Linked DNA regions of Alligator mississippiensis. The protein of the gene in region 1 purifies or fractionates together with the protein of each later gene. This does not show direct contact. Links are inferred from orthologs where the notes say so. Each region holds a gene or a part of one and is shown in the gene's direction. Other genes may lie near its edges. The genes, in order: EFTUD2, SART1, PRPF3 and TTC27.

What was found.
Region 2: the proteins of EFTUD2 (region 1) and SART1 purify together in Homo sapiens (affinity purification with mass spectrometry; 4 studies listed by BioGRID and IntAct, with this or other methods). This does not show direct contact. The link is inferred for Alligator mississippiensis from reciprocal best matches to the Homo sapiens genes EFTUD2 and SART1.
Region 3: the proteins of EFTUD2 (region 1) and PRPF3 purify together in Homo sapiens (affinity purification with mass spectrometry; 3 studies listed by BioGRID and IntAct, with this or other methods). This does not show direct contact. The link is inferred for Alligator mississippiensis from reciprocal best matches to the Homo sapiens genes EFTUD2 and PRPF3.
Region 4: the proteins of EFTUD2 (region 1) and TTC27 purify together in Homo sapiens (affinity purification with mass spectrometry; 5 studies listed by BioGRID and IntAct, with this or other methods). This does not show direct contact. The link is inferred for Alligator mississippiensis from reciprocal best matches to the Homo sapiens genes EFTUD2 and TTC27.

The regions. Positions count from the first base shown.
Region 1 is NC_081827.1:161,814,718-161,822,588, forward strand, and holds the start of EFTUD2 (116 kDa U5 small nuclear ribonucleoprotein component), read left to right. Parts: upstream 1-4,865; 5' UTR 4,866-4,975; coding exon 4,976-5,080; intron 5,081-6,337; coding exon 6,338-6,503; intron 6,504-7,162; coding exon 7,163-7,241; intron 7,242-7,871. Other genes in the region: CCDC103 (coiled-coil domain-containing protein 103), read right to left, coding at 1-313, 1,290-1,422, 2,525-2,676, 4,385-4,510. UniProt on the Homo sapiens protein: Required for pre-mRNA splicing as component of the spliceosome, including pre-catalytic, catalytic and post-catalytic spliceosomal complexes. Component of the U5 snRNP and the U4/U6-U5 tri-snRNP complex, a building block of the spliceosome.
Region 2 is NC_081838.1:4,484,787-4,491,665, forward strand, and holds the start of SART1 (U4/U6.U5 tri-snRNP-associated protein 1), read left to right. Parts: upstream 1-3,871; 5' UTR 3,872-3,956; coding exon 3,957-4,371; intron 4,372-4,638; coding exon 4,639-4,696; intron 4,697-5,946; coding exon 5,947-6,002; intron 6,003-6,566; coding exon 6,567-6,693; intron 6,694-6,879. UniProt on the Homo sapiens protein: Plays a role in mRNA splicing as a component of the U4/U6-U5 tri-snRNP, one of the building blocks of the spliceosome. May also bind to DNA.
Region 3 is NC_081838.1:18,909,544-18,917,039, forward strand, and holds the start of PRPF3 (U4/U6 small nuclear ribonucleoprotein Prp3), read left to right. Parts: upstream 1-4,492; 5' UTR 4,493-4,497; coding exon of another isoform or gene 4,498-4,580; intron 4,581-7,496. Other genes in the region: MRPS21 (small ribosomal subunit protein bS21m), read left to right, coding at 4,498-4,580. UniProt on the Homo sapiens protein: Plays a role in pre-mRNA splicing as component of the U4/U6-U5 tri-snRNP complex that is involved in spliceosome assembly, and as component of the precatalytic spliceosome (spliceosome B complex).
Region 4 is NC_081824.1:167,463,352-167,470,774, forward strand, and holds the start of TTC27 (tetratricopeptide repeat protein 27), read left to right. Parts: upstream 1-4,412; 5' UTR 4,413-4,492; coding exon 4,493-4,583; intron 4,584-7,423.

The DNA.
Region 1 (7,871 bases):
GTTTCTCAAACAAGTCCCTACTGCTCTCCTTTTCCACCTGGCTCAGGAGATCCACATTGAGCCCAAAGCGCTTAGTTTCTGAAAGGCTCTGTAAGATATGCAGGGTGGCTTCTCTGTCTTCACCACAGACATTCTCTGCCAACAACCTGAGGAACTCGCCCAGGAGGCCAAAGCCGAGATCCGCTTGAAAGATTTTGCCCAGGCCTGTGCCTCCGAGCTGCAGTAGGAACTGGTATTTTTCTTGCCCACTTTTTAAGCATCTGCGCCAATCTCTGTAGAATTCTGAAGAGGTTTCAGGTAATCGGTCCAACCCCTGGAAAGAAAAGACCAACAGCAATAAGTGAGCACCAGGCTTCTCCTGTTTCCTTTCCTTTCTACTTCTGAAATCCCTCTCATTAGTCTGTACACACTGATGACTGTCTGAATGTATGTGTGTGTAAGGGGGTATGGGATCCTAAGTAAACTGGCAAAACTCCCATTGACTTCAATGGGGCTGAGATTTCATTCCAAGGAAAGAATGGATGGTGGTCACACAAAACAGGTCACCTGTGGTAACTGAAGTCACAGGAAGAAAGGTAAAATAGTGCTATGGCTCAGAAGCCAATGAAGAGACAGCAAACAAAGTTCAGGAGTAAAAGGCTAGTTTTCACCCTGGCAATAAGGGAACAGTGGCAGAGACAGGATGTAGGACTAAATGGAGATCTGATCTACTCAAGAGATTTCAATATTTGGGATTTGTTTAGGGCTTGTTCACATATGGAACTGCTATTTCTTCTGAGTGGTCTTTCCTCAGGTTGGGGGAGGCCTGCTTTTTCGAATCCTCATTCTCTGCAACCTAACATCCACTGCTTTCTCTACTGAATGGCCTCTGGTCTGTTTTGAATTTCACACGCTATCTTGTTCTGCAATAACTTTCAGATGTCAACAAACCAATAGTGATGGAGGATTCATAGATGTAGGGTCGGAAGGGACCTTGTAGATCTTCTAGTCCGACCCCCTACACTGGGCAGGAGAGAAAACTGGGCTCAAATGACCCCAGCCAGGTAAATGCTGAGCCTCCTCTTAAAGACCCCAGGGTAGGAGCCATCACCACTTCCCTTGGAAGTTGGTTCCAGATCCTAGCTTCCCTGACTGTGAAGTAGCGCCTTCTAATGTCTAGTCTAAACCTACTCTCTAGCAACTTATGGCCGTTATTCCTTGTTACTCTGGGAGGCGCTCGGCGGAACAAGGTCTCTCCCAAACCACGCTGGTCCTCCCTAGTAAGTTTATAGACTGTTTTTTTTCCTCACCTGGGCTATTTCCACCTCGCTGTTCTGCTGGCACTTAGCTTGGGTTGCACAGGAATTCCACAGTAGGTTTTTCTTTTTTCCAAATTTATCCTTTTTTTCCAGGGGCTTCAGGTGTGATGCCTGCACAATATCCCTATAAGCAAAATCCTGTAAGAGCAAATACCCTCCACATCAACACCAACGCAATCCTGCAGGGAAAGGAAGTTGACTGGGCCCTGCAGGGGAAGGGATTGTGGCCAGGCCCCAACCCAACTCTGGGGTGGTGGTGGCCTGGCCCCAAGGGGTTGGAAGGGGTGCCCCAGCTCCAATAATCCAAAAACAGGGTGAAAGGAAATGGGGTGCTCTAAACAGCTGCACAGGGCTTGGGGTTTTGGCAGCAGGGAGAATGACTGTATTAATGTTCACTGCTCCCCCACCATCACATTTCTGGACCTGTGGGGAGCCCCATGGGCCAAATGAGTTGGCTCCATGGGCCACTATTGGCCTGTGGGCCAGAGGTTGAGCACCCCAGTCTAGAAATAAAAGTTTTTCCAGCCAAATGATGTTGGTTAAGGGTATGGTTTTTGTTCTCTCAGTTTTCTAGCAGATGCAGTTAAATGAAAATATAGGTGTCTTACATCAATATATAGCCTGTACTAGTTCCCAAATCAAACTAATACAAGCTTTTTTTATACTAGTATAACCACATCCACTTTAGAGGGGTTTGCCACTTATGCTGGCAATGTGTGTAAGATCTGTGCTGCGAAGGCCAGTCCCCTTTATGAGAAATGTTATAGTATGGGTGCTAAATAAACCTTTCCTTTCTTTTTAATTCCATTCTTCTTTGTTTTTAACACATCTTGTTTTGATTCAGATTCCTAGGGTCTGAGTAATTTCCCCACAGAGAGGAATATCTCATGACTTTTCTGAGAAGCTGCAGGATAGAGCTTTTGGAGTTACACGTCCCTTACCCAGCAAGTTGGCCTAGACAAAGAGCTCCTATCACAAGAAACTGTGTTGCCATTGAGTTGTGGGTGAAAGACATGGACCTGGTCACACATACTCCTTATTGCTTCAGACACTCTCACAGATTCAGTCCTCCTCACACAGGTGGGAGGATATGACAATACAACTTCTGAGCAGACAGTGTCACTACATGACACTCAGAAATACAAACTTTCATCCTGATGAAAGAAACACTGGATTGTTGTATTCCCAACTCCAGACTCGCCACATGAAACAAGTTGCCTGCAAACCTAAATTCTTCATAGGATGCCACCTTCTGGTGAACAGCTCGAAATTTGGCATCATTTTCTCTCCAGTACTTTTCATCAGCAGCAACAGCAGCCTGTAGTTCTCTCTCCAAAGCACAGAAATCTATTGCTCCAGATTTGTCCATGATGATAACCTGAGAGCAAAACATAATTAATGGCATGCACAGACCAAACAATTATACCAGTTTACTGTGACTCATGCTGAACCAACTTAACTATTTCATCTGTCCTCTCTGTATCAGTGTAACTTTACACCTGTTTCATTCAGTTTAATTCTGTTTATGCTGGGATGAGAATAAACAAGATGAAGCAGTTATAAGTGGTAAGTCCCTTTTACACACTATTTTAATATAGTGTATAACTGCATCTCTGATTTAGTTACTTTATAACGTCTGGCCTGCAGGCTGGATCCAGCCCATCAAACTGTTCCATCTGGCTTGCTGGTAGTCCAGCAGGCTACCAGAAGTTGACAGCATAGCTAGGAGGCGTGGTGTGCATACAGCCCTCGTTTGCCTCGTGCTCATCCCTGGACCCATGCTGTCACCAGCCCCCAAACCAAGTTACCTCATCCCCTGCCCTACACACCGTTGGCTTTGCAGATCCAGCCCAAGAGACCTTGGGGTCTAAATCTGGCCTAAAGTGCCAGGTGAGTTTGACACCGCTTATCTACAAGGTGCAATTCTACCCTGCCTGCTGCCTGACTTCAGACTAACATGACTAATGACCTCTATCTGCCCACAAGCCAGAATTACTTGGGGTGCATGAGCACCATGCAAGGGGAATATTCCTTGCTCTTTCACATCCTGTATATTACTTGAACTCTTGTTAGACTTGCTGCACGTATCTAATTATTAAAGGTGTACCAATACATTGGTCCCATATTGGATCAGCACCAATATAAGGCAAATTGAGTGTATCGGCTTTTTTTGGCTGGTGTGGCCAATAAATGCCCCATACATTCGCGAAGCTGCAGCACAGCATGCAGGCAGCCAGGAGTGCAGCCTGGCAGCATGAAGAGTAGACGGGTCTGGCCGGTAAGTCTATAGGGGGGGGCAGATTGAGGCCCCCATGGTGAGGGAGGGAGTGGGGCTGGGGCAGAGGCAGGTGCTGCCCAGCAAAGCCGGGGTGCAGGACTGGCCGCGCACAGGGAAAGGGGGTGATTCTTGCTGTTGTGCGCACCCCCAGGGGAGGCATGGGGGGGGGGTGCCCCTGAATCTGCGCGCAGGCCGAGGGCAAGCTGCCGCTGGGGGCTGGGGCCAAGGCAACACTGGGCTCTTCCCAGGTGGGGGGGCTGGACCAGGCTGTGCTTGGGGAGGATGGCGGCAGTGCTGGGAGGGGAAGTTGGGAGGGCTATGGCAAATTTTGGGGTGGCTGAAGCCCCGCCCCTAGCCCCACCCAGTGCCACCACTGCCCACCCTGAGCACAGCCCAGCCCAGCCCCCCTGCCAGGAAGAGCTCAACACAGCCCTGGCCCAACCTGCCCTAGCCCTGCACGCAGATGCGGGGGCACACGCCCCGCATGGCCCCCCCAAGGGTATGGGCAGCGGTGGGAGCTGCACCCCCCACCCCACACCTTCCCAAATGAGCCACTCCTGGCTCCGTCCTGGGCCCCCCAGCCCCACTCCCTCCCTCAGCGCGGGGTCCTCAGTCTGCACCCTCCACGGCCCTTCCCTCCCCCCACAACAGACTTATCAGCGGGAGGCTGCTCTCCACACTGCCCGGCTGCACATCAGCGATTGGAACGGTATCGGCTGAAACGGCTCGTTAAAAATCGGCCATTGGTATCGGCCCCCAAAAATCTATCGGTGCACCTCTATTAATTATACAGTGAGTTCATGCAAACCCCAATCTGAAATGATGACTTTGAAGTTGGGCCCAACTTTCCAGGGCACCTGCGTTCCATCTCAGCTGAGACAAGTCTCAGAAGAACACAAGAACTGCCCTTGACTGGGTCAGACCACCAGTCCATCTTGTCCAGTCTCCCCTGTCACGCCGCACTTCGGACCCCAGAGCGCTCCCCGCCGGGCCCGATCCCGGCCCCGGGGCTGCCCCGACACTGGTTCCCCGTCTCACCGACCGTCTCCATAGCAACAGCGGGACGCGCCGCCGAGGCCCCTTCCAGCCGGGGCTGCCCCACCCAGCGCCTGCTCGGAACCCAGACACTCCTCCCCCCAAAACTCAGGCCGGCCGCTCCCCACCCAGCCCCCGAGCTCTCCCCACAGCGGTTGCCTGGTGGAGGGGCACTGAAGTGACCAGCCCCTCAGGCGGGCAGCTTGGCCACCCCCCACGCGGTGGGGGGGGGGTCCTTCGACGCGAGCGTCGCACGGCGGCCGGCGCGCGGGAGGGCAGGCGCGCGGTAGCGGAGCCGGGTGCGTGTCGGGGCCGCTTTCGGGAGGGGAGGCGGAGACAGGCCTCGTTTTCGCCCCTTGGCGCCATGGACACGGACTTGTACGACGAGTTCGGCAACTACATCGGGCCCGAGCTCGACTCGGACGACGACGACGACGAGCTGGGCCGGGAGGCCAAGGACGTGGACGAGGTGCGGCCCCTCCCCGCGGGGGGCGGGGGGCCGCCGGGAGACGGGGCCCTCTAGACTCTCTCCCGTCTTCTCCGCTCTTGAGAGCTGGCTTTTGCAGGCAGAGGTCCAACCTGCAAGGGGTTGCTTGGGCCCCCCTGCCCCACACAGTGGGGGCTGGGGCGTGGGGGCAGGAGGCAGCAGGTCGGGCGTGAGGGGTCAGGACTGGCCACTGATGTTTACAAGTGGGTCCTGGTGCAAAAAAGGTTGAGAACCGCTGCACTAGGTCAGATGGATAGTGGGGGAGAGGGAGAGAAGGGCGGAGAGAGAGCGAGCGAGTTTTCACGAGCTGACACTTGCTTCACTTATGAAGTGAGCTTCAGCCCATGAAAGCTTGCATGCACTCACTCTTTCTTTATATGCATGTGTGTGTGTCTTAGTTACTTCCTAAAGGGGTGTATTGGCCTTGCCTCCTGATATAATGGAGAGACAGAAGTAGTGTTTATAACCCCAGAGCAGAGGCATGGTCACTGGGATGTGTTGTGTGGTGAAAGGGGCTGCACCTGATGACCCAGAACAATGTTCCTAATGGTGTGGTTGTTCAGAGTTGTTTACAGGCAAATGAAAAATAGTCACCAGTTTACCACGCAGATTCTTCATAGTTTCATAGTAGCTAGGGTCAGGAGGGACCTGAACAGATCAAACAGTTTTCTGAACAAATCTTATACAGTTAGAGTTTCATGTGCTGTATTTTGCAATTGTGCTTTGATGTGGAGCGTAGCCTGGCTTGCTGCTTGCTTGGCAAAACTTTGGTAGCCTATGTACATGTACAGAAGGCAACATCTTGTGGTTGCACAGAATCACAGGGTTGGGAAGGACTTCAGGGGACCATCTGGTCCAACCACACCTGCATGAATGTAGGAATGATGCTCCTAAATCATCCACATCCAGTGAATATTTGCATTTGGCAGTGGCCTCTGGAATGGATTCAAGGTGGGGAAAATGGCTGTTAAATAAAAATTGGGAGAGATTGTCAGCACTCCTGTCTGGACCTGTTTCTGATCAGTGCTAGAGATATTCAGTCCCGGTGCAGGTCCCAATCTTGGTGTAAGTCAGTGTGGCTTCCACCTGTGCTCATGATTTGATATGTGACCACAAGCGTTTTTCTATCCTAAAATGGGGTTGAGAATACAAACCTTAGAAGGGGTTTTGTGGATCTTAACATCTAAAAAGCTCTTTGAGATTGTTGGGTGGATAAAGTATTTCTGTTGTCGGTTTCAGCTTGATGATGATGACGATGATGACGATATGGGAGACCATGATGAAGATCACCCTGGAATGGAGGTGGTACTGCATGAGGATAAGAAATACTATCCCACTGCAGAAGAGGTCTATGGGCCTGAGGTAGAGACTATAGTGCAGGAAGAGGATACACAGCCTCTCACTGGTAAGTAATTATAGTCAGTAAATCAGATTTCTGATCAGGAAAGGTTTTTGTTGGCAATCATGGAAGGAAGAAAGGCTCTGAAATCCTGCTGGTGGTGGTATTACTTGCATCTTCTCAGACATTCAGTCTGTTTTGTCTTTGGCATTTTAATAGAAATTCTACTGAGAGTATTAACAAAAAAGAATTTAATTCATAAAGTAAAAGAACCAAGTCTCTGCTTAAAGGGAAAAAAGTGATAATGGAAATTGAGTTAAGCCTGCAAATGAGCCAAATATTTGGCTCCTTACCAGTTTTAATTTGCCTTATAAAAATCCTTTTCAACCTCCAAACTCCCAAGACTCTTTCCACTTTGTTAAAGATGCCCAGAGGCATCAGTGCACCATTGCGAACGCCAGAGGAGTTCTGTTGTGAGATGTGCAGAGCATACACTAACTGTGGCTGAAAAGATCTTAAAAGAAGGCAAATGAAAATCTGTTTCAGTTATGTCTTAATCTTCCCCAAATAAAGCAGTTAAAGTGGTGTCATCAACCTTAAATATCACTTTTTTTGGTCTAGTAATATGCTTAGTATTGTCTCAGTTAATGCCTTAGGTTAATGTCTCCAAACATCAGCATTTTAAGAACATTTTTTTTCACTGTAAAATTTTATTTTGGTTTCAGAGCCAATAATTAAACCTGTGAAAACCAAGAAATTCTCCCTGATGGAGCAGGCATTACCTGTCACTGTATATGAGATGGAGTGAGTACTGTATAGTTTTTTGGCTTTGTTTTTTAAGTGCACATCTGGTTTAGCTCTCCTGTATTTTTTTTCTCTTTCACTTTCCACCCAGGTTTGCCACTGGAGGGAAGGAAAGTTGGGGTGTGTGGGGGTTGCCTTGAGGAGAAAGCTGCTGCAAATTGAAGGTGCAGCCATTGTGCCTTTTAGTAGTATTGGAATCCTATTAATGTAACTGCCAAGGCAGTAACTTTCTGGTTATGTTTCTGTTCTCTACACAGGTTGCTCCTTAGTCATCTTGTTCTCACACTTTCTTTATGCCGCACAGATTGATCTTGTGGCTCTATTAGGCATGTTTTCAGCTTTCTCATGACTTTTCTTTGAACTCTTCTCATGTTGTTAAAATCATTCTTGAAGTGCAGACATCAGCACGACACACTGCCCTAGCAACGCTTAGTAAAGTTACTGGTAAATACGAGAGGTGCATTACCAGTAAAGTTACTGGTAAATACTATGCCCCGTGCACAAATCCGGGGCACACATGCCCCCCATGTTTCTCCTGTGGGTGTGCGCAGCGGTGGGGAGCCGTCCCCCTCCCTATACTCCCTGGCCAAGATGCCTGCAGGGTCACATTCACTGCCCTGGCTGGGCAGC
Region 2 (6,879 bases), on another chromosome or scaffold:
GTGGCACTCGGGTCAGGTCCCGGAGGACTGGAAAGGGGCCAACGTGGTCCCTATTTTCAAGAAGGGGAGGAAGGAGGATCTGAGTAATTATAGGCCAGTCAGTCTCACCTCCATCTTTGGAAAGGTCTTTGAAAAGATCATGAAGGATCATATTTGTGGGAGTCCAGCGGGAAAAGTAATGCAACAGGGCAGCCAGCATGGATTAGTAGCAGGTAGATCATGCCTGACCAATATGGTTTCGTTTTATGACTGTGTAAAAAATGCTTAGATGCAGTAGAGGTGGATGTCGTTTTCATGGACTTTAGCAAGGCCTTTGATACGGTATCTCATCCTATTCTCAGAAATAAATTAAGAGGCTGTGACATAGATGTTTACACGGTTCAGTGGGTGGCAAATTGGCCCAGCGGTCGAACCCAGAGAGTGGTAGTAGATGGGTAGGTATCGACCTGGATGAACGTGGGTAGTGGGGTCCTGCAGGGTTCAGTCCTTGGACCTGGACTCTTCAATATCTTCATCAGTGACTTGGATGTGGGTGTGAGGTGTACTCTGTCCAAGTTTGTGGATGATACTAAATTGTGGGGTGAAGTACACACTCCGGAGAGTAGGGAACAATTGCAGGTAGACCTGGAGAAGTGAGAAAAGTGGGCAGTACACCATAGGATGCAGTACATCAAGGACAAGTGCAGAGTGCTGCACCTAGGGTGCAAAAATATCCAGCACATCTACTGCCTGGAAAGTGACCCTCTCAGCAGCACAGAAGCAGAAAGGGATCTTGGAGTCATAGTGGATCCAAGATGAACATGAGTCGGCAGTGTGACGAAATCATCAGCAAAGCTAATGGCACTTTATCGTGCATCAGCAGATGCACGACAAATAGATCCAAGGAGGTGATACTTCCCCTTGGTTGGACAGTTGGAGTACTGCAGCCAGTTTTGGGTGCTGTACTTCAAGAAGGATGTTGATAGACTCGAGAGGGTCCACAGGAGGCCACTCGTATGGTCAGGGGCTTACAGGAGAAGGCCTACGAGGAGAGACTGAGGGACCTGGACCTCTTCATCCTCTGCAAGATAAGGGCGAGAGGTGATCTTGTGGCCGCCTACAAATTCATTAGCGGGACGCAGCAAGGGATCGGAGATGCTCTCTTCACCAGGGCACCTCTTGGGGTAACAAGGAGCAGTGGTCACAAACTGACAGACAGCAGATTTAGGCTGGATATCAGGAAAAACTTCTTCACGGTAAGGGTGGCCAGAATTTGGAATGGACTGCCGAGGGAGGTGGTGCCCTCCCCTACCTGGGGGGTCTTTAAGAGAAGGCTGGATAGGCACCTGGCTGGGGTCATCTGATCCCAGCACTCTTTCTTGCCCCGGGCAGGGGGTCGGACTCGATGATCTGTTGAGGTCCCTTCTGACCCTGGCATCTATGACCCAATAAAACCCTAAAGATCCAACCCCTACACAGCCCCTAGCCCTTATATGTGCCCTATAGAACCTCCCCACCTCTTATAGCCCCGTGCCCTGTAGACCCCCAGCTCTTACCCTGTAGACATCCAATCCCTAAAGAATCTCTAGCCGTTACAGATGCCCTATAGAACCTCCTCAGCCCTTACAGATTCCCCCTCCTATAGAACCCCCAGCCCTTATAGAGCCCAGACTATAGAAGCCAAGCCCTTAAAGATTCCCTATAGGTCCCAGGGCCTATAGACACCCCTCAATCCTTATCAATTCCCTACAGATCACAGCCGTTCTAGGAAAACTACATGGCTCCTGCCAATAGAGAACACCCAGCCTTTATAGATCCTCTGAGATTAGCTAGCCTCTATAGACTCTCCGGCCCCTACAGACTTTGCCAAGAAATCCCAAGTCCTATAGACCCCTGCAGGAGCCCAAGCCCAGGGCAGGAGGGTCTGCAGGGGTCCCCTGACAGCTGGGAGGGTGGGGGTGGCACCTGTAACCTGCCCCCTATGTGACTTGCCCCCCCAGGTCTCAGGAGCGGGCGCGCATGGCGCTGTACAAGGCCCAGCTGCGGGAGATGGAGGCTCGCGTGAGCAGCCGGCCTTACCTCTTTGAGAGGGTCATGCAGGTGCGGGTCCCGCCCCGGACACCTGGGTGCTCTCGTGCTCTGGGAGGGGCGTGGGACTTGGGGGGTTACAGCTGGGGCGGCTGGGAGCTGACAGCCCCTGCCCTGCAGGCCGGTGCCCGCCGGGCCATAGAGCACCGCTTCTCCCAGGTGCTGGAGGCGCTGGGCATCGAGGAGGCCGGGCTGTGGAGGCAGGCGGGGCACCAGGGCCCCCCCTCAGCAGGTATGAACAGGAGCCCCCTGCCCGGACGCCTGGGTTCCCTCCAGCTATCGGAGAGGAGCAGGGTCTGGTGAATTAAGGGGGGAGCCCGGACACCTGGGTTCTCTCCTTTGCCATGGCGGATGCTGTGCCCTCCTGACAGGTCTCCGCGGACAAGGGCCGAGACCCACCTCTGGATCCACCTGAGAAGGCCCTGGAGTAGCGTAGCTTCTGCCCTGAATTAAACAGGCCTTGGGAGCCGGGACACCTGGGTTCTCTTCCTGCTTGGGGAGGAGTTGGGGCTGGAAGCCGGGATGGCTGGGCTCTCGAGCTAGGGGAAGGACGCGGAGTCCGGGGGCTGGAAGCAGGAGCGGGTTCTCTTGTGCCCTGGGAGGGGCGTCGGACTCGGGGCTTAGAGCTGGGATGACTGAGAGCCCACGCGCCTGGGTTTTCTCCCAGCACTGGGCAACCAGCTGGGAGGGAGACTGAGCCACTGCAGGCGCTGCCCTCATACAGCGCCAGGGGGCGCTGTGCTGCAGGGGTGCAAAATCCACCCCCACGATCCATCAATGGTACATGCCATTAAGGATGCACCAGACTGTGCGGATTGTACCATGCCTTCTTGGTGGGGAAAATCAATCTCCCCCCTTCTGGATCATACCATCTCTTCCTTCCATTGGGAGAAAGGACATTTTCCTCACGCTTCTACTTACAATGGTATGTCCCTCTGTGCCTACAGAGCAGTAGGTGGGTCATGCCACTTTTTCCTCTGGGGGGGGTCTAATATTCCACCCCTTCTACTACCAATAGCATTTCCCAATATGCATCTAGTGCAGCATGTGGATTATACAATCCTATCCACTCCCGAGGGGAAATGTTTCCTCCTTGTACTCCTAATAGTATCCCCCCGCCCCCCACGCCTACAGACGAAGTGTGGGTCATACCATTCCTTTTGTAAAGGAGAGGGGTAATCGCCCCCTTTGTACTGCCAATGGTATTTGCCTGTACGCATCCAGAGCAGCAAATGGATAACACCATCCTTTCCCCTGGGGGGGGGGGGGAATCTTTCCTCCTTATACCCCGATATGATTCTCCCCCTTCCAGCATACGTGGGTCATGCCACTGTTCCCTGAGTAGGGGGATAAGAATTCTCCCTATTCTACCACTGATGTGTTCCTACATGCCTCGAGAGCAGTGTATGGGCCATACCATTCTCCGCCTTTTAATGGGGGGAGTTAACCCTCAACCCCAATTAAGGTAATGTTATTTAAGGCCTAGGATGAGTAGCCTCCCTCCACCCCTCAGGGGCACTCCACCCCCGCTTCCACTACAGGAATGGTACAGTCCGACGGCGGCTGGGCACAAGATAGTATTTAGCGGGAGCCAAAGCGGAAGTAGCTTTCAGCGCTCTCCCACTTCCCGGAAGCAGGTAAGGCTGGCCACTGGAAGTGGTATGACTGACCGGAAGTAGCGACGGTAACCACGGAAGTCATGTGACTGAGCCTTCCCCACGTCCACCGGAGGTAGTGGCGACGAACGCGGAAGCCGTGTCCTGACCTCGCCGGATGTAGAAGCCGTGACCCGGAAGGAGTGTTTCGCGAGACGGGAAGGGACGTCTTTCACCCCGGAAGCGGCGGGAGGTTGACCCCGGAAGGGTTTGCGGCCGCCATTCTGCGTCGCTATGGGCTCTTCCAAGAAGCACCGGGAGCGCGGGGAGGCGGCGGCGGCGCCGGGGGCCGGCTCTGGGACCGCCGGGGGTGGGGCGGGGCCCGCGGAGGACCCACCCCCAGCCTCGGCCCCCGCCCCCGCCTCGGCTTCGGCCTCCTCCTCCTCCTCCTCCTCGCGGCACCGGGAGCACAAGAAGCACAAGCACCGCGGCGGCGGGTCGGGCTCCGGGTCGGGCTCCAGCGAGCGCCGGGGCAAGCGGAGCCGCAGCCGCGGGGAGCGGAGCCGGCGGCGCAGCGGTGGGGACGAGGCCGCCGCCCCCGGGGGCAGCAGCAGCCGCGGGCATGGCCGGGCCGGGGAGCGCGGGGCCGCCGAGGCCGAGGGCGGCAGACGGGCCAAGCGCGAGCGGCGCGAGGACGGGCACGAGACCGGTGAGGGGGGCGTGGGGGCGGTGTACAGGAAAGGGGGGGGAGTGAGGGAGGGGCTGCTTTTCGGGGAGCAGGGCAATGGGGAGGAGTGAAGATGAGGGTGGAGGCTTATCTGTGGGGTGGGGGTCATGGGGTGTCGGGAGGGGGCTGTGAGGAGCCCGGGTCTGTGGCAGATCTGACGCTCGGGCTGGGTCCTGGCTGGGAAGTTCCGGGCAGAGGGGACTTCTCTTGGCTTCACTCACGTCTCCCCCTTGCTCCCCTCCGCACCAGCCACAGCGCTCAAGAGCGGCTCTGGAGAAGCCCTGTCCCTCAGCATTGAGGAGACCAAGTGAGTGAGAGCTCCTTTCCCATCCCCCCCACCTTCCCGTGGTGCAGTCGTGCCTCACCCCGTGGATGCAGGTGGGGTTGGGGCTGGGGTTGGGGGGGGCTACAGCTCTCAGGCGAGCGGGGCGCAACACCTCGCCTTTGTTCCAGTCCCGCCTAGTTGCCCTCAGCTCATGGGAAGCCTGTTTTGCCCCCCATGGGTCAGGTCTTGGCAAGTGCAGCTGCCCTGAGGAGGGGCTATGAGCCCTGCTAGGGGGGTAGGCACTGCTAGCCCAGACCCCATGTTTCCCATAATAATCTTGGGCTGAATGGATCTCGTTCTAATGGGGTGAATGGATCCAGTTGTTTGTGAGATCAGGCAGGGAGATTCTTTGCTGGTTGCGCTGTGCGCTGCCCTGAGCAGCGCAGCATGGGCAGGAGGGAGGAGGAGGAGCTGCGGGGGGCAGGAGCAGCACCTGGGCGGCTGCAGCAGCCCTGTTCAGAAGTGGGCCCTGGCTGGGGCCGGGGCAGCTGGGAGCGCGGCATCTGTTGCCCCAGGTGGCAGTGGACAGGGCTCAGTCCCCTGCGGGGCACTGTGGGGGCAGCTGCCAGCCAAATGGGGTGGAGTGGGAGGATGACTGCAGCTGCACCACCCCGGCGGGGCAAGCTCTGTTACATGTGTCCCCTGTACCCCCCCCCCAACCTTTCCTCACCCCCAGCCAGCTCCTGGTACCTAGTGCACAGGCAGCCCACCTCCACATGCACCTCACATCCCTCCACACCCACTCCTCCATGGATACCCCCCCTCCCCCACATACACGTATCCTCCTCAACACCCTGCTCAGACAACATACAAGAGTAAGATTTTATTTTTGAGCTATTATACAGTTGCCTGTTTTTGTAGTACTTGAAACGGAGACCAGGCTTAAAAATTATTTTTTGAAATAAAACTAAAATGCGTCATAGTACATGCCTGGGTTTTTGTATGCAATTTTTGTCTCTGACCTGTTATGAGATGCAAAAGATTTAGCAGGTGTGGTTCTCCAGAACTCATTACCTAGCCCTCTAGCTGAAGTCATTGCCCACCCCTGGCTTACTGGGTTCCCACCACCCTGATTCATTAATACTCAGTTTAATAAATAGTGTGACACATCAGTCTTGGTCACAGCCCCAATGTACATGAGGGTGGATGGGTCATGAAGGAGGGGAGCTGGTCCAGGAGCCCTGGTTCTGAGCCCCAGGCACTTTGTGACTGTCACCACTTTCTGTCTGTAGCAAACTCCGAGCCAAGCTGGGCCTGAAGCCCTTGGAAGTGGGCACCATCAAGAAGGGTAAGTCTGTATTGAGCATGCCTGGGGGGAGTGAACCCAAGCACCCAGCCTACCAGCCCCCCTACTCTAACCCCTCAGCCCCCACTTGCCTTCTGGAGCTAGAGAGAACCCAGGTATCTGGGTCCGAGTGTTTGTCTTTCCCTACCTCAGCCCCCACTCCCATTCAATAGCTGGGAGAGAACCGAGGGGTCCGGGCTCTCTCAACCCCTGCTGCAATCCCCCAGGCCTCATTCTTATCCTTGAGCTGGGAGAGACCCCAGGCATCTGGTTTCCCAGCCCACACTCCCTGCCCAGAGCTGGTGAGAACCCAGGCATCCAGATCTAGCACCCCCTGCTATCACCCCCCCCACCCCCTCACTCCACTTCCAGACCTGGAGTGAATCCAGGTATCTTGAGTTCTCAGCGCCCCCGGTCCCTTCCCATCTCCTGGCTGGTGCAGTCCCGGCCCTCCCAGCCCTGTCCCCAGCTGTTCTCTGTGCTATGGGTTCTTGGGGGGGCCTGGGGAGGGAGTCTCAGGGGGTCCAGGGCACACCCATATTTCATGTATGCTCCCCCCCCCCGCAGAGGCAGGCACCAAGGAAGACCCGATGGCGGCCGATGTCATCAACCCGATGGCACTGCGGCAGCGTGAGGAGATCCGCGAGAAGCTGGCGGCTGCCAAGGAGAAACGCCTGCTCAATCAGAAATTAGGGTAATCTCACCCCTTTGCTGTATCCCTGCCCCCTTGCTGTCTTGGCCCTGGCCCACATCCCTTCTATCCTGCCCCCACCCTCGCACCCACTCACCCAAACACAGCGGCATCCCTGCTTTTGTCTCCCAGAGCATACAAGTTCTAGGGGCAGAATCCAAGAGTGTTTCTTTGCAAAGAACCGTGGGA
Region 3 (7,496 bases), on another chromosome or scaffold:
CTGAAGGCAGGAGGAAGTGGGTGGGGAGCAGCCTCAAATGGCAGAAACTGGGTTCCATTGACAGCATGTCTCAAAAACAAAAAATAACCCTCTGCTGACGAGTGATCTGAGCAAGCATGAGATGCAAGGGAGGAATCAACAGGGAGTCCACAGAGGCTGCTTTCCTGGCTGGTGGTTCAAGGTAAGTGGTATCTGAGGTTCGGTGCTACCTCTCTAATGAGAGATTTTTAAGAATCTCTTGCCCCGTAAAACTGAAGGAGCTGATTTTTTTTCTTCGCCCCCTGCTGAATCTGTCTGGTCTGCTGGTCAGATCTGCGCTGAGGCACTTCTAAGGTGGATTTTAACCCAGCAGAGTGCAACAGCTCAGCCAGGCCCGTTCTCACCACTGGTGTGCAACACCATCTTAGTGCATGTACCTTATTTACCCACCTACCACACTCACCTCCGTCCCTTAAAATTAGCAAGTGAAAATTGGGGTGCAGACCTTAAAGGAAGAAATGGATTCTGAGCCATTCAGTTAAAAGGAAAAATCCTTTTTCTTCTTCAATCTGCCTCTGCAAAACAAAGTGCAGGTCTTAGCTGGGGGGATGTGTGAAAACATAGAGTAATGCTGACCAGGTACTAATAATATTTAGGATGTTACTTTCCAAAGCACTTTGCAAACACAAGCCACCTTTCTGTCTGGCTGCAAGACTGGGAAGTGTTACCTTCTCTGGTTTTGAGGTGGGGGAAAGATAAAGGGTTTCTCTTCCTTGCAGAGGAGATACACATCCAAGCTAGCTTTAAACTAGCTGGCTGGGGTACTAGGAGGGGTTATTTGGAGGTAGGTAGCTTGCACTGAGCTCTTTACCTTCACAAACTATGAGAAATGCCCATGCTTGCTAGTTTAAAGCTAGGCTGTGGTAGACTCACAGAATAGCCATACCCTGAGACCCAGAGAAATGCAGCAACTTCTACCCCACCGCGGCAAAGTTAGCACTGAGGAATCCTGGCTCTCCATCCTGTTCTCAGACCTCTCTCCCCTTTTAAAAAACTGCTTTTAAAATAAAGGAACATTCACCCCAGAAGACCTAGTCTGTTGCATTTCAGGCCTTACTGAATTTTTTACAGCCCATTTATAAAAGCCCATAATAACAGGGTCTGTCATTAAAAAGCCGCTGGATTATTAACGGGATATCAATCAGATTCGTTTCCCAGCTGCTGGCTCTTGCTGTGTCCCCACCACCCCCTCCTTTCCCTCCCTCCTTCGCAGCCACAAATGGATGCACATTTTGGGTTCATTTACATTTTAATAGCTAACAGTTCTAGCCCCACAAGTGCTGACCCACCTCTGCACTTATGACTCAGATTTGGATGCGTGATGGGGTCAGGGGTCCCTGAGAATTGTAGAGATCCTGATTTAAACTAGTGGAGTCTATGACAATGACTAAAGGCCAACTGGAGATGATTTGAAGGCTCTGATGTTTTTTATCTTTCATTGCTCCAGGGTGGTTCAGGACCCAGAAGCATCAGGATATGGTAGGAGAGGCTGTTTCATAGTATCCCTGCTGAATCTCAGGGCTGAGCCCAAGGTGAGACATCTAACCTGATTTTTGCTGACAGCTGGGCAACAGGGTGCTGAGTTGAACTGAAGCTAAACTAAGATTCCCCCGGTGCTTTTAATGAGGTGGGACTGGGGACTCCTAAAATCCCAGAGGATTTTAACCGGACCTCACTTCACTAGCTACCATTTTCCCTGTGCTGTGATAGGTGGTGCTGAGCCTGGGGACTCCTTCACTTCCACTGTTCTGTGAATAAACAGGGCACTTCGCTCCCCAGGCGCCTCTCAGTCCCGAGCCTTGGCCCTCAGGAAGGGCTTTGTGCTACACCAGTGCTCTAGAGGATGACGGCTTTCCCCATTTATTAATCGGATATTGATTGATCTCGGGGAGTATGTCACCAGCATTGGTCTCATGGCATCCTAGTCTTGCTGGTAACCTCCCCCTGACAGATACATTAAATACTGGCTTGGTAGAGTGGGTCTGATGAACAGGCAGTGGCAGATAATGTGACCTCTCCGTGCTGCTCAGCAGATGCGCCTTTTATGAGAGATCTCAAAACACTTTACAGAGGGCAGTGAATGAGGCTTTCCAGCCCCCAGGTAGGGTTAGGGTTATTTGACCTTGTTTTCCTGTAGGGATACAGAGCACCAGGGAGATGACATGCCTTCAGGGCCAGAGCTGGGAAGGGAACTCAGAAGCCCCAACTGCAAACCCTGCCCTGATCATAAATGCTCCTTGACAGAGTGATTATCTAACCTGCCTTTTATAGTGCATTTACTTGTGCCTGCTGCCCCGTGTCTTCAACAAGCAGAACGCTCTTTGCTCCCCAGCTCAGCAGAGAATCACGCTGTACCGACGTCTGACTTTTGGCAGAACTCCTGAGGGGAAATAAATAAACCTCGTCTGGCATCTTGCGTGCGCTTCTCTTTCATTTGCTCAAAGTCACATCTAATCTGTCCTACCTGGTTGCCCAGTGCATTCACCTTCCTGTCACTTCCTGGCTCCCTCTGTTTTCATCTCTGGGGCACTGCTGGCTAATTCATGTGTCATGCCGTGACCCGGTCACTGAAATGTAGGTGGCTCCCTGGATCACTCATCGGGAGGAGTTTGATTCAACTGCCCTGCCCCTTGACACACAAAAATGATCCAATGCCAGGACAAATTGGGACACCCATGCCACCTGCAGGACCTCCTGCACGGAGGTGCAGACTATGCTGAAATATGGGATTGGCTTGATGGTGTAATCCCACACTGGTGTGCAAATATCAGTCTCTCACTGCTGTAAAGATCTGGGCTGGTTTCAACAGGCTTGGCTGGCCTGCCACATTTGGAACAGGCTATTGAGGGAGGTGGCAAAATCTCCATCCTTGGATGTTTCCAAGAACAGGTTAGACGGGGCCGATCCTGCCTTGAGCAGGGGGCTGCGGCCTCCTCGGGGCCCTGCCAGCCTGACTCTTCCACGATTTCCCCCTAGCGGGTATTTCCCTTAAAGCCCCAGCTCCCGGAGCCAGGGGATCATGCCATGCTGCAATCTTCTCTGCTTCTGCTTAAACAGCAATGGGGATCTAGCCCGGGGGGATGAAGGAAATGACACAAAGGTGGAATCAGAGCATGGTATGGGAAACAGACAGCCCCCCGAAAAACGGGCAGCCCAGCTGGTTGCTTCGGGGCCAGGCTCGTGACGGCGGAGCGCTTGGGCCTGGCCAGGCTGCTCTCGTTTCAGCAAGGGCGGGGGGCATCGCCCTGGTCCCTGCCTGCAGAGGAAGGGGGCGCCGTGCAGGCAGTGCCCAAGGGGGGCAGTGGGTGCTTGACATGGGCCGAGGCAGCACCCCCTGCGCCACCCCCTCCTCTTACCCCAGTGCCCCCAGGCTCCCACACGCTCCTTTTGCCCCCTGCCCCCTCCTCTTTCCCCAGTGCCCCCACCCCCCCTTTTATCCCCCTGATATTGCCCCAGTGCCCACCCCCTCCTTTTACCCCCAGCCCTTCCTCTTGCTCCAAGTACCCCCACTCCTCCTCTTACCCGCCCCCGCCCTAGACTCCCCCCTCCCAGAACCCCGTGGGCCCGGTTGCCATGGCGCCCGGAAGTGGGCGGGACGGCGCGACTTCCGCTTCCGGTGGCGGCGCCTGTGACCCCGGTGGACCTTGGGGGGCGCGAGACGGGGTGAGCGTGGTCCCCCCGAGACACCTCCCCGCAAAGGGGCAGTGCCCCCAGCCCTGCAGCAGCCCCGGGGCGGCAGGGCGCAGGAGGCGGGGGTGAGGGGGGGCGCTGGGCGCAGGCAGGGGCAATGGAGGTGCATGAGCGGGAGCGGCCAGCTCATTGCAGGGCGGCTCCCCGCTGGCGAGGCCACACACATCTGGAGCCCGGGGTCCAGTTTTGGGAGGGATGTGGACCCGTGGGAGAGAGTGCAGCGGAGGGCAAGGAAAGTGTCTGTGGGGCTGGGGGACAGGACTGGTGAGGAGAGGCTGAGGGACCTGGGCTGATTTAGTCTGGAGAAGAGGAGACTGAGGAGGTTGAACAGCAGCCTTCAGCTCCCTGCAGGGGGTTGCAAAGAGGACGGAGCTGGGCTGGTCTCAGTGGGGGCAGGCGGCAGACAAAGAGCGATGGGCTCCGGTCGCAGCAGGGGGAGTCAAGGTTGGATATTAGGACAAAGTTTCTCCCGAGGAGGGCGGTGAAGCGCTGGACCGGGTTCCCCCCGGGGGTGTTGGAGTCTCCGTCTTTGGAGGTTTTTAAAGCCTGGTTCGAACAAAGCTTTGCCTGGGATGATGTAGTTGGGGCTGGTCCTGCTTGGAGCAGGGCGTTGGACTAGATGTGACCTCCCGAGCTCCCGTCCCACCCTCATTGTCTAAGAGTCTAAGTCTGTGGCTTTCTTTCCCCACCTTTCTAGGTCCCCGCTTGTGGTGCAGTGGAGACCAGTCACGATCCGGTGCCTCCTGAGCCTCAGCCTCCACAGCCGCCATGGCGAGTCACCTGAAATTCATTGCCCGGACAGTGATGGTGCAGAACAAGGATGTGGAGGCGGCATATAGGTCACTGAACAAGTAAGAGGCAGTGGCCGCCTTTGCTGGGCCCTGTTGGCAGCTGTGTTTTAACAGGGAGCCGAAGGATTCCTCCCTGAACCCCCTCTGCTGGTACTTGAGCTGCAGCTTGGATTTCATGTCATGCTCTTAAAGCAAAGAATCCCCCCCTAGAGCAGTGGAGTTAGAAGGGAGCTCCAGGGGTCACATCTAGTCCTGAGGCAGGATCAGTCCTGTCCCAGCCATTCTATACAATCCATCATCTAAACTCTACGTAAGGCTACTGTCAGCCCTGGCACAACACAGACCTAACCCCCTATGTATGAACCAGTCATGTTCTTGGCACTCGTGCAGGCAGGGGGGTTTTGTTAGTGTGTCGCACCATCAGTCTTGTGTTCTAGTGGTTAGCCCAGTAGATTCGGGATTGGGACACTGGATTCTTTTCTTCCTTCTATATGACGAAGGAGACGAGGACACAGGGAAGTCAGAGGGGCCATTTTTCAAAAGTTGATGAGTCTGGGTTGTCTGTTCCCCTCTATGCGTCACCCGGAGGGGATCAAGAGAAACCTGGCTGGGTTTAGCAGGGTTCAGTCTAGTGAGGTTAGACAAAGAGACCACATTCTGGCTTGCTTTTACTATGATCTGTGATTACCCTCTGAAGAAAATTGGCTTCTGATCATGACAGGCCCTCCAAGCTCAGCAAAGAACTCCCTGTGACCCCAAAGCAATAAAACTGAGCTTCAGCGAAATGAAGCCCAGCGAATCTGAGCTCAGAATGGATGTAGAAGCAACCACGGTCTCACAGCTTCACCCAGCATTGCCCGTCTTCCCAGTGGGTGTTGTCAGGTCACAGCAATGAGGATCTGAACCATTCATAAATTCAGACGCTAACTTTTAAATGTATCGGTCACATTTCAGGGGTGGAAAAAATAATGTTCATGTTACATTTCAAGGGTGGAAAAGGTAATGTTCATATCTAACAGCTACACTGTATTGCTCTGATTATAAATTGGCCTCTGAAGGACCCTACTACAATTGGCACTTGGTTTATTTGCAGTCTCTGGCTGTATCCAGGCTTCTCAGCCTGGTCTGATTTTTTTTCTTTTCCTTGTAGTATTTTTGTGCAGTAAAAAAAACAAAAACAAGTCAGAATTATTGTTTCCAGTGCAGTTTTCGTTTTGGTGTATTTAGTGCATTTAACCTTTTGGGTCCTTTCTGCTGCAGTTTGAGTCTCCTTTGGCATTTTGTAGGGGCAGCAGCAATTCAAGGTTTGTTTTTTTTATCTGTAGTTACGGATTTTTATTCAGGGGAAAAGCTGTTTTACCTAATACTGTATTTGTTTGCATGCTGCACATGTCCTTTTCCCAAGAAGCAGCTCTCCAAAAGCGGAGTGGGTGTCTTAAGAAGGGAAGCTGGTTTCTGTGTCAGAATAGAAGCATGGAGACACTGTAATGGTTGCTGGAGCTCTGCTTCTTTCTCTGGTGTCACAGTTAATTTTAACTAAGCTGCCAGAAGCTGCTGCTAATTCAGTAGCAGGTGCAAGAAGATTAAAAATGTAGCTGTGGCTGAGCAGTGATGTTCAGGATTCAGCCCTGACTCTGGAAGCACCTTTTTTCCCCTTAATTCAGCCTTAAGATGCATGTCTGATTTGGGGGTGGGGTGTGATTTGTGAGGAAATACAGTATTGTACAATGTGCAATGTCTCCTCATAATCAAGACAGTACTGGAGGTCTGCAATAGGATGACTCCCTTTGGCAATCAGTTGAGGGGAACATTAGAAACATAGCTTCATAGTCATTAGGGGTTGGAAGGGAACTTACAGATCATCGGGTCCAGCCCCTTAGGCAGTTAAGACTGCTGGAATCGGATACCCCAGCAAGGTGTGTGTCAAGATGTATTTTGAAGATTGCAAGGGTGGGTTACTACACCACCTCTGGAGGGAGCCTGTTCCAAACCCTCGGCACCCGACTTGTAAAGAAGTTTTTCCTTATGTGTAGACTGAAGCGATCTTCAATCAGTTTGTGCCCATTATTTCTTGTCCTCTCCTGGGGGACCTTGGTGAATAGTTGCTCCCCCAGGCACTGATGTTCTCCCCTGATATACCTATAGGCTGCCACCAAGTCCCCTCTGAGTCTTCTCTTCTCCAGGCTGAACAGCCCCAAGTCTTTCAGCCTCTACTCGTATGACCTGGTCTCTAGGCCTCTAATTATGCACATGGCTCTCCTTTGGACTCTCAGGGTTCTCCACTTCCTTCCTGGAGTGCGGCGCCCAGACCTGGACGCAGTACACCAGCTGTGGTCTCACCAAGGCTGAGTAGAGCAGGAGGATGACATCCTTTGCCCTGCTCAAGATGCCTCAGTAGATGTATGCCAGTGTTTGATTAGCTCTGCTAGCTACAGCATCGCATTTGTGGCTTGTGTTCATTTTGTTGTCTACCATAACATCCAGGTCTCATTCAGTTGTGGTACTGGCAAGCATAGCACTGCCAAGTCTGTAAGTGTGCTGGGGATTATTTCTCCATAGATGGAGCACTTTACATTTCTCTGTATTGAATGTCATCACGTTGATGTCCACCCACCTCATAAGCCTGTCCAGGGTGACCTGTATTGCAGGTCATTAAAAGGAAGAGGCAAGGGGAGTTGCTTAGAGCAGTACAAGCTGTTCTCACTGGAAAGGAAGGGGTGGGAATGACTGGACGAACTCCAGCTGAATAGCAGGAAGTGTTTCCTAATGCTGAGATCTTGGCTTGCAGGTTCAGGTACTGTCGTCACTTGAAATTAATGAGGTCAGTGCGCTGGAAAGTAAGCTGTAGGGAATAACCCTGCTCTGGTATGGGGTGGACTTTGAGCCTTCAAGAGTTCCCCTTGTGTCAATAAGAGAAGGTTGATTGGAAGAGAGAGGTGGAATTGGCCTCTCTGTCTCTGTGCCTCAACTTCCCCA
Region 4 (7,423 bases), on another chromosome or scaffold:
AGGAGCAAGGCCAGGAAGGCCAGAGACTGATCCTGGGTAAGACCTGAAACTGTACCCTACTGGGGCTGGTTAGCATAGTGGGGCTGCCTATGGCAGGGCAGCCTCCATGAAATGCCATGCATGGGCCACTTCAGGGAAAGGTGAGTATGGGATGCTGGAAAGCCTCAGCTCTCACTCCTTTGTGGGTTATGCTGTGGAAGGAGAAGGCTAGGGGAGCACACCCTGACAGAAAAGCACTGGGCCTGGGAATAGTGGGGTACTGGGAACAGAGTGCATGACTGGATCAGTCTGAGGGCCTGGAGACACCCAAAAAGGGTCCAGGACAAGAGACCAAAGGGGCTACCAGAGGGGCTGGGAGAGGGGCCAAGGAGCCTGGTAGCCCAGGGAATGGCTGTGTGAGGGGCTGGAGGAGAGACTCAGGGGTCTGACAACCCAAGAGGGGCTGAGGGGGAAACTGAGTGTCTTGCAGCGCAGGAAGGGGCTGTGTGGAGAGACCAAGAGGTCTGAGGGCCAGAGTGGGGCTGAGAGAAGCAGAGGGGTCAGAAGACCCAGAGAGGGGCTGCATAAGCCACTGGTAGAACATCTGTGAGGATGCCCTGTGAGGCATGGTGCAGGGGAGGTATGGAGCCATACAATTGGCCCATACGGCCTTGACCACAAATACAGGGGTCACTACAAAAAGACCAAGGCAGTCTCCTGCACTCTTTATAACAACTAACATCAAGGTGTGGCAGACAGGAGCTGGGCAGACTGCCTGTGAAGCAGGCTTTATAAAAAATGTTTTTGGTACCCTGTGACACAGTCTAATTCAAAGAAAATAAAAGCACCAGTCAAAGTACCACAATGAAGAACATTTACAAATTATTACCATTCAGAATTCATTACCTTCTGGGAACTAGAAGCAGAAATATTCCAAAAGGAAATTTCATTTTAAATAACTAAAAAATATATCAACAATGTAAGTCTATTTTTTCCCTTTTAACTAAAGTCTTAGTCATTGCTTGTCAGTGTTTTCATGAGACAGTGAACATTGGTTGGGGCATTCATTTTTTATTTTAATCTGTCAATTAGGCTAATTTTAAGAATTGATCATTTTGATTTTGGAGAATAAAATCTATTTAAGTAAATTCTGATCTGTAAGTTGTTGAGGCAGGTCATTTTATTAGCTGCCTCAAAACAGTGCAATTTTCCTCAGAACAATGAAGAAACAAACCTAACCTTTGACTACCACTTAAAAAAAAAAATATAGGGATAACAATGGGAAAAAAGATGCAGACAGGCTTGTCCAGGGACAAGAGGAATAAAAACAAACAAACAAAAAAAAATCTACACACTACATGCAGCCTTCTTTATACAAAAATGTAAGTCAATTTAAAGTTGGGGTAAAGCTCAGACGCAACATAAAATGGACAATTAAATGGGTTATTGAATGCCTCATTTCACTGAAACATGATTTCTGGTATACCAATACAGCTGTCAAACATGAGCCTTCAGGAAACAGAGACAATATATTTAGGTTCTACTAAAACAAACACAAAGAGACAGCATATTATCATGGTTATTCCAAACAGGTTTAGTAATTACTAGTACATTTTAAACTGCAACCATTTCCCAGTTTTACAAAAACAGAAGATGGAAACTGATGGTGTGGTAGGTGATTCTACAACCTTTTGCCACCAGACTTAAATCCATTCTAGCTTCAGAAACTTGTTGCCAGTTGATGGCTGTTCAGTGTCTATATAAAATGAATGATAGCTGTAGTTAAGAAAATAACTGTAAAAGCAATTTAGTAGTGCTTAACATAAAGTTTGTCCAGTATCTTTGAAAATGTAACACATTGAACAATATAAGAAGGGCTGTTGCTGTGTGAAACCCATGAACGCCCAGGGGGACAGGGCTGTCCTTGCATGGGACCTAGGGAGAGCCCACGTTAACTGCCTGTGAGCAGTTAACATGAAGCCTGAACACTCTGGTACCTGCCTCTCCCTCTGCTGTGTGGGAGGTGTGGGGGGAGAGGTGCTAAAAAAGTGTACATTTTTCTCCCACATTTTTACTTATGCAGCCTTGCCACTGGAAAAGAAAAGAAAAATAATCCATAGAATAATTTCACTTTGACATCATAATAGCATATATTGGTATTCTTTTGGTATCGATTTGATATTGATACACTTATAATATCTGTACTTCCTCTTAAAGTTTATTCATTTCAAAGCAAATTCAAGAATTACAGAACTGTCTGGATTTTCTTGTTATGTGGCAGAACGTTCCCAAGATATATGGACAAGCTTGATGCATCTTGGAATTGTAATTTATTTGTTTAAAATACGTGGATGGAACTCCAGGGAAGAAGCAACATTTCAAAAAGCTTCCAACTGTCTCAGGGCCGTCAAACACAGTGGGTCTCTCTCCATGAGACGTTTACTGCAGAGCTGCCTAATTAGCTCTGCAGCAAATGTCTCTGTGTCTACAAGTGTGCCCCTATTAGGGCACACAAACCTGATAGACTCCACAGCAGGCTAGTACTTGGAAATACAGCCATGAGAGTTGGGAGGTGAGGGCTCAAAAGGAGGTAGGGCTTGCAGGATGGTATAAACCAGGGGTGGGCAACTATTTTGCCTGGAGGGCCACTTAATGAGTTTTGATAAGCTGTCGATGGCCACAAGGGTAGCCCTGCCCCTTGAAAGGTGTCCCACTCCCTGGTCGCTATCTTGGGACCAGAAGTCCTGCCCCAACCCCTGACTTTTGCTGCTGGAAGTCCTTCCCCTTGCCCCTAGAAGTACTCTTTTTGGGGGGAAGGGAGGTATTAGTGAATGCAAGGTGTATTAGTGAAAATGTTTAGTATTAATAATAGTCCAATTTGGCCAGTAAGAAAAGCAGATGGAAAAACTTGGAGACTGTCAATTGATTATAGGGCCTTGAATAAGGTAACGCCTATGAGAGCCCCCATCGCTGATAAATTTCCAGAAATGATAGCATCAATAGTGGGTGGGGCTAGGTATTTTCCGGTGCTGGACCTTTCAAATGTTTTTTTTTTGCTAGTCCCTCCATCCAGTTTCATGGTATAAATTTGCTTTTACCTTTAAGGAACAGCAATACACCTTCACCAGAGTACCACAAGGATTCCACAGTGTGCCAGCTATTTGTCATGATCATGTGACAAAAATGTGGGAAAAGTTGGATGCAACAGACCAGCATCAGGTGGTCTCCTATGTGAATGATGTCCTAATTGCTGGTACATCAGAAGAAGATTGCAGGGAGTGAACAGGTAGAGTGCTAAAAATCATAGAGGAGACAGGATTTAAGGTAAACCTTCAAGAGGGCAGGGGTTTTGCTATCTTGGAACTGGAAAAAAATCATATACTAAAAATGAAACATTTACTATAACATATTTTAATTTTATTTCAAAAAATATTTTTGTCCTGATTTGTGTGTGTTTGCATAGTGTATATAGAGGCAATTGGGGTGGGGTGGGGTGGGGTGGCTGCTTAGCAGCCAGGGCTACTGCCCCACTAGGTGCTGGTGCATCCTGTATGGAGGCACTGGGTTTCAGACGTGCAGCTGAGGGCTCTGGGCCAGAGATAATTGTCTTTTAGCTTTTGGAGGGGCCCGGCAGGCTGGATGTCATCACCAGGTGGGCTGGATCCAGCCTGCAGGACATATTTTGCCAGCCCAGGGAATAAACCCAGAGTGGGGGAGACTTGACTTGGAAGTAGTTGCTTGAATTTGCATTACAGTTAAGATACCAGAGGACTGGGTTGTAGCTACCTCTGATGAGTGGTACGGAGTCACCCTCCAAAGAGCCCTGTAGTGGTTAGGTATCACGTGGGGGCTGCATGGCACAAGGACAGCCTAGCCTGGGTCAGGGACCCAGCAGGATCCTTGATGTAGGCCCAGGAGTGGCATGCAAGCAGTCTTGCCGGGTCCGGGACCCCCTGGGTCGTAGAAACAAAGGAGCAGCCTTGCCTGGGTCCAGCACCCTGGGGTGTGGAGGAGCCCGAAAAGTACGAGACTGTGGCCAGGGGCCGAGGAGCGTAAGGGGGTGAAGGAGCCAAGGTCCAGGGCAGTGGGTTAAGACTGAGTGACTTAGGCATTGTATGTGCTGTAGCAACTGCCTCAAAAATTATCCTAGGTTTTGAGCAATCAGGGCTGGCGGATAGAAACAATCTCTTTTACTAAGCCAACAAGATTTTTGGCAAAAAAAAAAAAATTATAAAAATAAAATAAATATTTAATTGCAGGCTTTTGGGCACAAACAAATCCTCGGTTTTGAACGCGTTTACTGTTATCGACTGCACGTTGTACACGGACTGAAGGTCCTACACCCAGCACCATGAGCGCACACCCCGCCACGCCCAGAACGCAGCTCCCGCCCCACAGAGCGAGGGCGCTCCTGCGCCTGCGCCTGCCACTCCTGCATCCCAGCATGCCGTGCGCGGGTGTCATGGCGGCGCCCTGAGGCCGGTGGCGGCACGTGTGCTGGGAGGGCGGCAGGATGCAGCTGGCGCTGGAGCGGGCACTGCTGTGTGGTTTCTCGAGCCCGGCGGAGGTTCGGGGCTGGCAGCAGGGGGAAGCCGCGGCGGCAGGTGAGAGGGGCCCGGGGCTCGGCGCAGCTGCTCCGCGGCGGCTGTTGGTGCCCGTGGGGGGCCGGCGCTCTCCGAGCTCGCTTCAAGCCGCCTCGCTGGGCGCGGGGTGGAGCCCGTGCTGCTGCTACTGCAGGTGTTGGGGCTTGCGGGCTGTCGGGACCTGCGGGGTAGGTAGGCCCCCGGCAGCCCGGAGATCCCCGGCACACTCGTGCTGATGCCTCTAGTTGAAGCCAGCCGAGGGCGCTGGCTTTGATTTTGGGCTCGGACTTGAGCCCGAAATCAGGCAGGAGGGAGTGCCCTGTCTGCGGGAGGCATGGGGACAAAATGCTCATCTCTGTTTGGAGAGGTGCTTTGCTCTGCTGCTGTACCCTGAAATCAGGCATTGGTTAGAGCAAGGTGGCCCCTTCCACACCGAGGGAGGACTTGTGGCAGCATCCGGTGAAGTAAACTGTTGTGGAGGGGAACTGATGCCTCTCTGAACTTGTCTGTCTGCACAGTGCGCTTGCCCTGGTTTCTGCCCTATCCTGTGTTTGGGTCCCTCTTGTGCTGTGCATGTTTCCTGCTAGAGTGAAATGGATTCTTATTGGGAAGGTTTGAGGAAGCCGCTAGTGTCTCATTTTTATTATCTGAGGCTTAGTGGGATTTTAAATCTAATCTCTTCTTCTGCTGGTGTACCTTGAGCACAGATAAGCTCCCAAGGACCGTGGTCATGTTCCCACTTGCTGAAATGTTTAGGATGCATAGAACATAAAAAAGACTTTTCAAGGTGGCTCCAGCACAGAGGCAGTCAATTATTGGGGCTGGAAGGCCACTTAATGACTTCTGATGAGCTGTTGTGCAGAGGGAGCAATTGATCATATCTGGCCCTAGGGCTGTCTGCCCTGCACCCACCGCTGGGGGCATTGGACGGAGTGGGTAGGCAGATGGAGTCTCCATAGAGACCAGCCTCGGACCACTGCTGGCAGGACCCGCTTGGCCCAGCAGATTGGGATGGGGCTATGGGTGGGCTGGGAGCAGCAGCCAGGAGTGGGATGGGTGGACAGAGCCAGGGCTGGGATGGTGGGGAGAGTGCAGGTCTGGGGCCTGAGGCAGAGCTGCAATCTGCTTCTCACATGTCCGTGTGACAGGCAGCAGTTCTGTGGGCAGGAACATGTGGGGCTTGGATCGTGGCTCTGTCCCGGGGAGCGTTCCAGCTCTGTGCAGCCACTGTCCCACGATCTCAGCCCTGGCCCGCTCCTGGATGCTACCCCTGCCTGCCCACTCCTCCGTCCCATCCACCTGGCCGAATGCACCCTGCCGTGGGGGTTTCAGGCCCGTCTCCATGGATTCTGCCCCACACCTTCTGGCCCCCCTGGTGGTGGGTGTGGGTGCCTGGGCAGCAGGGCTGGGTCTGGCAGTGGTGGTGACCTGGAAGAACCAGCTGGAAGGAGCCGCTGCCACCATGGGGGTAGCTGGGAAGCTGAGTCTGGCTGCTGCACCACCCCCAACTCGCTGTGTATATCTTGCCTACCGCACTCCTACAGGTGGTGAATTCACCCTTGTTCAGATGGTCTCACCTGCTTCATTTAGGTTCCTACACGTATTTACCAGTGTAGTATCCAAGCACCATCTAGTAGTGCTTTTTAAGCATCTCTCACATGATTTGTTCTTTCACTTCTGGACAGTAAGAACATTAATTATGTAGTGCCGCGGTTTGATAGAGCATGTGTTGCTATCTGTCTGTCAGGTACCCCTGTCCCTTGTGGCAAAAGGTGGTGAGCTTTCTCATAGTCCTTAGCTTTTGTGCAAAGTGTTCCCTTGCACCAGGTGAGCTTCATCCTTTTTGTAGAGGGTGCTGTTCTGTTTTTGGGGGTGGGCAGGAGTGGAGTTTCAACTGCTTAGCTATGCTGTGTCCAGCCTGCTGAAGACCTTAAATTTGACTTAGCATTGTTTAGAATGAAACACAGGTTTGATGTTCTTGCAGTTGTCTGTGTTGTTGAAGAGAGTGCGTTAGCATTCTGTATTAGTTACATTATTGTAAGGGGTGATGGCTTCATGCCCAGTTATTACTTCCCATCTGGACTACAATATATACAGCTGAGGTCAGGCTGTCATTTGCCAGACAGATTCTCAACCAACCAGAGATGTCAGAAAGTGCAACAAGGGGATGTTGCTGTGTAAGGCCTTTGTGTTAGCTCTGCTACCTGAGCTAGCTTGGATATGTCTACATACTTTGTAGTTACACCTTTGTTGAAAGGTAAGTATCTTGAGTTTGCTCAGGAGCAGAAAGTTTAATTCTGGGCCATTGTCAGCCAGAACAGATGTAGCTAGTGTGACTTGCTTCAGGATTGGTTGCAGTATTAGAGGTTGTAAGAGGAAGGGAAGACTCTTTTCCTGAATGAGGCACTGGCTAATTTGGCATGAGTGGCATCAGCTAATCTTGATGCTTAATAAATTAGAAGGGCAGATGTATAGGTCCTGGACAAGATTCTTAGTATTTCTTGATATGTGAATATGCTTTGCTTTGTGCCTGCATTTCTGAAGTTGAGTCAGGCTGTTTGAGAAGCCTTCCTACATGTGCAGTTTGTTATAACTTTATTAGGGATGCACTGATTAAAGATTTTGTTGGCCACTTACTGATGGCCGATTATTGACCAGCCATACCAGACATTACTGATCTGAAAGCCAGTTTACAGGAATGCAGCACAGCAGTTTGGAGAGCAGCCTCCAGCCAATAAATCTGTGGAGGAGAAGGGGCAGGGAGAAAGGAAGGGGTAGATTCATAGATTCATAGATGTTAGGGTCGGAAGAGACCTCAATAGATCATCGAGTCCGACCCCCTGCATAAGCAGGGAAGAGTG